Linked DNA regions of Arabidopsis thaliana. The protein of the gene in region 1 interacts with the protein of each later gene in a pairwise test. Each region holds a gene or a part of one and is shown in the gene's direction. Other genes may lie near its edges.

What was found.
Region 2: the proteins of SBP1 (region 1) and ABCB16 interact in a protein complementation assay, tested with the Arabidopsis thaliana proteins (one large-scale study listed by BioGRID).

Annotation. Positions count from the first base shown.
Region 1 is NC_003070.9:17,197,466-17,201,401, forward strand, and holds SBP1 (S-ribonuclease binding protein 1), read left to right. Parts: upstream 1-1,848; 5' UTR 1,849-1,905; coding exon 1,906-1,946; intron 1,947-2,061; coding exon 2,062-2,162; intron 2,163-2,278; coding exon 2,279-2,607; intron 2,608-2,708; coding exon 2,709-3,215; 3' UTR 3,216-3,376; downstream 3,377-3,936.
Region 2 is NC_003074.8:10,614,426-10,618,361, reverse strand, and holds the start of ABCB16 (P-glycoprotein 16), read left to right. Parts: upstream 1-2,000; 5' UTR 2,001-2,060; coding exon 2,061-2,258; intron 2,259-3,350; coding exon 3,351-3,405; intron 3,406-3,516; coding exon 3,517-3,695; intron 3,696-3,764; coding exon 3,765-3,936.

The DNA of each region.
Region 1 (3,936 bases):
TGATTGTTACAACTAATTTACATGTTGAATTGTAGGCACTGTTGAAGATAATGACTACACCAGTTATGAAAATGCTAGAACAACAACTAGTAGTTCAGGGGTTGAGAGTTCAAGAACAAGAGACTCAAACGTGTTTTCTAAAGTCTTTTCAAGAAATATATTAGCAATTGTGTTTACACTTCATATATAATTTAATATAGTGTTAATTCTATATTCAAAATTAGTACTCAATATAACCCATGCATCCGGTGGACAACTTTCTTGGTAAGATATATTTGCGAGAACCTACCATTGAGCGAGCGAACTCGTAAAGAGTCATAATTTATTGTTTTACCATGTTATAAAAATCAGATAGTATTAATCAACCTAGGCATGGGCGTTTGGGTATACGGATCGGGTTTTTTGGGTTCTGGTTTTTCAAATTTATAAAAATTTCTTAAATCTTGTAAATCTTTATGCAGACCCATATATATATATATATATATATATATATATATATTGTTCTACCATCCACAAATACACCAATTTTTTTTGTTTTACTTTCACTTTTAAATCATTCAAAAATCAATTTACTAAATGTAATTGGAAATATATCAAATCAATTGTCTAACCCAAAACATTAGCAGATTAGTTACGAAACTTCTACCGATGATTTCGGTAGCAGTTTTTCTTGCTTAACTACTAACTATGAAAGCTTTGTACACATGATACAAAAACATTATGAAAGTGGGTTTTGTAAGCTCATAGTTTGAACAGTACGACATTTTGGGTTGCCTATAAACAAAAAAAGAAAAACTACAAGATATTGAGGTTTAGGCATGTGTTCACATAACCGCACTAAAGAAGAAGCCATTTTCATCGTTATTGTACTGTTAAAATAAGGTCTGCTTGTCTATGACTCGATATTTTGGTACTAATCCATAACGATCAAAGTCAATTCAGAAGCCTATTAATGAGGTAGTTTTAATAAAACAACAACTGGTACCATACATAAGTGGACATAGGCTGGAAAATCTTGCCAATTTGAAAGATCAATAACGGAATTTTTTGTTATTCGATCAACTACGGGAAAATTAATGGAATTCATAATTGTTTTCTACTTCTATTATTGTACAAGTATTTAAGAAACAAACTAAAACCATTGTAATGTTCCTTTTCACCATGCATAAACTAAACCAAGGATTAGGATAAGCACAAAAATGAAAGCTTCTGTAAAAGTGGATACCCCAATACATCTAAACTCAGTGTCGATGGATACTGAAAATATTTTCAACATCAAAAGCAACAAAACTAGAACAAACATATAATAACAGATTCTAAATTATAACCAAACATCCCCGATCGTTTCTATTCTCACACATTTTATAATCCCAAAATTATATGCTTTTGTGAATCCCATTACGCGCCTTCAAAAACTTTTAAATTTTACCATATCGTAAGTCTAATTTATATTAGTCTTAAATAATTGGCATAACTCTTTTTTTTGTCGGATTGGCATAACTCTTTTACAATTTTGGCTTTGGATGAAAACTTTTTTTGTGCTAAAATAATATTATATTATATGAAATAATCCGCTTAGTTGAAATATCAAAAAATATTGAGAGAGTAATCTCTATTTAAAACGTTAACAAAAAAATAAACTTTTAAGATGATTGTGTAACTTACATTCGTAAAAGGGCCCAATAGTTTTGAATCATTCAATTCAAATCCATTTGGGCTAAAGTTCTGATTTTATAAATATAGGACAAATAATAAAACTAACCAAACTATACGGTCAAAAACAAAGATATAGAAAAAGATAAGGGACCTGATCGTAAAATACAAATCTTAAAGAGTTTCCAATTTCAGAAGCCAACTCCGTCTCCTTCTCCGTGTCCTTCTCTCTCTCTCTCTCGAAGTTCATCAATGGCTCTTCATCCACACCTTCAAGACTCCAAGAATTTCAGGTAAACAATCTCTTCTATTGTTATCATGTAATCTTTCTGTGATAGGAAAGCCCTAATTTTTCTTTAAGTTTCCAAGAATCAAAACCCTAATTTCTCGAACTTGCTCTGTTTCCAGAGACTTTTGCGGAATCGACGGCCAGATTTCGCCGGAATTAGGATTTAACCGCTCAGAGAATCTCCATGATCAATCTCAGCATCCTCCATATATTCCTCCATGTAAGTTTTATCCGATTGGAATTAGCCAATTAGGGTTTTGAAATTTGATTGGTGAATCTGTATTGCGAATTTAAAGGTTTTGTTTTTGTGTTTGTTTTACTTTTGAACTATATCAGTTCATGTTGCTGGTTTTGCACCGGGACCGGTGGTTCAAATTGATGGTTCTGATGGTGGTAATGGAGCTGACTTTGAGTGGAACTATGGTCTTGGTCTTGAACCAAGACGTGAGAGGATAAAGGAACAAGATTTCTTGGAAAACAATTCTCAGATATCTTCTATTGATTTTTTGCAAGCTCGGTCTGTATCAACCGGATTGGGTCTGTCTCTTGACAATGCTCGTGTCGCTTCTTCTGATGGCTCTGCGTTGTTGTCGCTTGTTGGAGACGATATTGATCGCGAGTTACAGCGGCAAGATGCAGATATCGATAGGTTTCTCAAGATTCAGGTAAAGAACCTGATCTTTCTTTGATCAACCTAGTATGTTGGTTCTTGAATGTATGAGGAAACTTTGGTTTTCGTTTTCTTGATTTTGTGTATCTTCGATAGGGGGATCAGTTACGGCATGCTATCCTCGACAAGATCAAGAGGGGTCAACAGAAAACGGTGTCACTAATGGAGGAAAAAGTTGTTCAGAAACTCCGTGAGAAAGATGAGGAGCTAGAGAGGATAAACCGAAAGAACAAGGAACTCGAGGTGCGAATGGAACAGCTGACAATGGAAGCTGAGGCATGGCAGCAACGTGCAAAGTACAACGAGAATATGATTGCTGCACTCAACTACAATCTTGACCGAGCTCAAGGTCGGCCAAGAGATAGCATTGAAGGATGTGGAGACAGTGAAGTAGATGACACAGCTTCTTGCTTCAATGGGAGAGACAACAGCAACAATAACACGAAGACGATGATGATGTGCAGGTTTTGTGGAGTGAGAGAAATGTGTATGTTGTTGTTGCCATGTAATCATATGTGTTTGTGTAAGGAGTGTGAGAGGAAGCTTAGCTCTTGTCCTTTGTGTCAGTCTTCTAAGTTTCTAGGTATGGAAGTATACATGTGATTGTGATTTGACTAAACTAATGTCTAATTAGTTAACAAACGAACTTTATTTGTAATTTGTCTTTGCTTTTTTTTTTTTTTTTGTGTTTGTTAATATCATCGGATTGGTAAGTGTTACTCTGATTGACATATTAAGCAGACTAGACCGGACTTGACTTGAACCACACAATAGAAAACAATTTAGAAATCAAGTTAATTCTGTTTAATTTTTTATTTTTCCTTGGAAGTAAGAATATGATATCTTAATCAAAAATAGAAGACGTACAAAACATTCTGATTTATACTATTTTTGACTTTGGTTAATATTTACAATTGAATACGGTTACGGTTACAACAGTTACGGTTAAACAGACTTATGATTATTTTATAACTATAATACATTTAATATTTTAGGTAAAATTTTACGTATTATCCAAGACGCTCTAGCTCATGTCAAGTTATTCTTCTCTGATTCTCGTTGACGAACATACAAGGTTGTCTTTCGGTACTTTTACTACTGTGAATTCTGTTGTGTTGTAGATCGTAAAAAGATTATATGTTTGTCTTAAATGTTTCAATTAAACCAAAAATGTAATAAGGTTCGTGTATGACCCAAGGATTAAATTTTCCAGCAACTCTTTATCAATGTCAACTAGTGTTTTTATTCATTGTGTTTTTATTCATTGTGGTGAATTTGATGTCTTGTAGATCGTAAGTAAATCTTATTTTTGTTGAAAGTTAAA
Region 2 (3,936 bases), on another chromosome or scaffold:
AGTGACAAATTCAGCATACGAGGAAAATAGCATATTGACATGACATGAGACTTAAGAGATAGATGATTTCTTCGTGATATTACCTAAGATGTGGAGGATATGAGGAAAGAGTTAAGCAGACATTATTTAAATGTCATCTTTCACTATAAACGTGGGTCTTATCTCTAATCTCATCGGCTTTTTAATTAGTTATCTTTGGAAAAAAATCAGGTTTTTGAAATTTTGTAAGCGGACAAAGAAGTTCATTTGTGATATCTCACATGGACTTTCGTGAGCCATCAGATATTTCAAGTCATACTATATCTGATTTCAAGGCTTGGAAGGAAGCTCAATTAACTTGCCGATGTAATAGTTCAACTGGTAAGGTCCATAACACATGAAAATTTTCAAGTGGATGGATCTTGGAAGGATTGCCAACCCTAGTTTTGTCTCTCTTTATTTAGAGTTTTTAAACCATGTTTTTTGAGGGGATCGAGAGACTAGATTTTGAGACTGATTGCGCGGAGTTGATCAAGATGATGCATTGTCTTGTTGATTGACCCGTCTTCTCTAGCTTTCTAGATGAGTTCGGACTACTTGAAATCCTTTTATTGTTTCTCGTTTTTTTCAGAAATAATTATTGTAATTGAAATTATAGAATGTATTGCATATTTTGTTGAGTACGTACTTTTCTATTGATTAATTATAAGACTTTGAACTACAAATCTCTTGATAGAAATCACACTTTGGCAGTGGAAAACATGGAATTATAAACATGGTGGTAGAGAGGAAGCATTGATTATAATATTTCACTTCCATATTGTATATTTCTTGGTTTTCTGGTTCACTATCGAGTCGTTTTTACTGTCTTCTTTGGTGGGCAACATGGAATCTTTAAAAGAAAGAGCATAATCTAAAGAGATTAGCAATCACTTTCATAAAGTATAAGCTAAAGAGATTAGCAATTTACTATTGTTTCCAATCAAACATTAAACTTTTAACAACACTCCCAGAGTGATTGTCCATATAAGATTTCACTACAGAAAATGGATGACGTCGATTTACCAGCTTCACTTCGTAAACCAACGTAAAATTTTTAATATATGAAGGTCCATTAAAATAAATGTCCACTACATAAATCAGAGTCTAAACTGTTTATTTGATTTATTAGCTTATGCTTAAGAACTTTTACGAGCTTCTTTGTAATTGACTTTAAAGCGAGACAATATTAACGTCATACAATAATACGACGGTCTCCAAACTGACGGTAGAAGTTTTAAGTCAGCTTATATATAACTGACGTTACACTTAATATTAACCGACGTAATTTGCCGTGTTCTCTTTGTAATGTTGCGAGAAAGACATCTATAAAAATTAGATCATAAAATTTGAGTCTAGAATAACATGCTAAACAATCTCCTGTACTATCTTTTTAAATCGAGTAGTCGCTGGTGACGTCCACAAGAAAAATTGCGGTCATTTTGCCAAATCATGAGAAGTCCCTTTAACTTTGCGAAAGTATGCAATAAAAACTCAAATAAGTATGTTTCCTAAAAAAAAAAAAAAATTGTATGGTATGAGAAATTTAAACTATTTTGATATTGACGTTCGTCGTTATGTCGTAAAATCAAATCAATATCTTTACAAAAGCATTGTGAATTAATGAAGAAATTAACCTAATTGTTTATCAAAGAAAAAGAAACAGCAATACACGAAAGTATTTGAAGTTCATACACAAATTAAATTTTGAAAACTAATTTATTAGCTTAAAGCCTTGAAGTACTCAGCATATATTATTTTATTTGTTTTCTTGTAGCTAGGTTACTGAGCCTGGTTCGCGTCTTCGCGAGGAGTTGTATAAGTTTTACCGAATTAAAATAGGTACTGCAGGTATATAACAGATGTTAACAAATAATATTATATATATCATATCATATCACTTTCGGTGAAGTCGCTCTGTCTCGGCTACTATATATAGAACAATCAGGAAGACGGAAAAAATAACATTACACTTGAAAAAAATCCACAAATATAAATGAAAAGAGAGAATCTTTTGTTCTTGAAGAAAAAGAGAGAAGAAGATGAAGACATGGGGAAGCATGAGATCAATATTCATGCATGCCGACGGTGTAGATTGGATGTTGATGGGATTAGGGTTAATCGGAGCCGTCGGTGATGGCTTCATCACTCCTATTCTTTTTTTCATCACAGCCATGCTATTGAACGACTTCGGTAGTTTCTCTTTCAACGATGAAACCTTCATGCAACCCATTTCCAAGGTCCTTTCTCTCTATCTCTCTTCTTTTCTCTTTGTTTTGGTTTATATTCTCTCTAAGTAGGATCATAATACTAATTTAAGTATATAAGATTATATACAATAATACAATATATATATATATATATTTAAATTATAGTATTTTAAAAATTAAATATTACATGAATTGTTTTATATAATTTTATATTCTTTGAGTTGTAAAGAGTAAAGCAAATTAAGCAATGCTATTTTTTCATTTAATGTTATTTAAATTGATTTTGTAGGTTAAGGGGATAAACAAAAAGTTTTGTTTCATTAAAATTTAAATTCAAAGAATTTAGTTTAATTTCCATAGGATATTATATTCTATAACTAAAAAAGTTGGTAAGCAAGAGTTCGAGACTGAAAGTGAGAGCCATGCTAATCTCTAAAATGATGACTAAAATACATATATTTTTGCTATTTAATACGTTCATAGCCAATTTAAATAAAAATATTTCTCACATTCCCATAAATTAGTTACTACCAAACATTCAAAGAAGAAGCAGATAGACTGGATTATGAAGGGCGGGTCAAAAAGGCAATTGAACATTGGCTTACTGGGTGTAGTTAGATTATTTTAGCCAAATAAACTAGCAATAATCCAACAATTATGATAGAATTAACTAAATTACAATATTTAAATGAGTAGACTTTTTTTTTTCCAATGAGTAGACTGTAGACATAACAAGTGGTTTCTCATGTAATGATGACAGAGAGTTGTACAAATTCCAGCCAAGAAATTTACCTTAAAATGGAAAATCAAAACTAGACATGACCAAGTAGACCAAGCATGGTGGGATTCTTAATTAAAACGATCGGCTTATGACTTTTTCAAAAAATAAAAAACTATCGTCTTACATATATGTCCATATGTGTATGTTAAATAGGGATAGCAATAAGAGAAATGTGAAAACCCAAATATTTTATTACATAATCTTAAACTTCTTACTATAACTCAACGTGTAGTAAGATTACGATTACTATATTGCCCCACATATCAATTACATTACTTAAATATATAGGAAAGAGTACTAATATAGTATCTTCCTTCTTTTTTTCACGTTGTAACTAACAGAATGCTCTAGCCATGCTTTATGTGGCTTGTGCATCTTGGGTGATATGTTTCCTTGGTAAGTGTGTTTCTTTCAATTTTTTTTTTATCAAATTAAAATATTAATTTGGTGCACCTCAATATAACAAATTTTGTTTAATTTTGTGGATGGGTTTAATATTTAAAACAGAAGGATATTGTTGGACAAGAACAGGGGAGAGACAAGCAGCAAAAATGAGAGAAAGGTACTTAAGAGCAGTGTTAAGACAAGATGTGGGTTACTTTGATCTTCATGTCACAAGCACTTCTGATATTATTACCAGTGTCTCTAGTGACAGCCTTGTCATTCAAGACTTCCTCAGTGAAAAGGTTTTCAATTTTTATTTATCATATTTCTTGTTCTTAAACAATTTTTTTGATGATTTTGAATTCAAACAGTTACCAAACATTTTGATGAATGCATCTGCGTTTGTCGGAAGCTACATAGTGGGTTTCATGTTGCTGTGGAGACTCACAATCGTAGGCTTCCCATTCATCATTCTCCTCTTGATCCCTGGACTAATGTACGGACGAGCCCTCATTGGCATCTCGAGGAAAATACGTGAGGAGT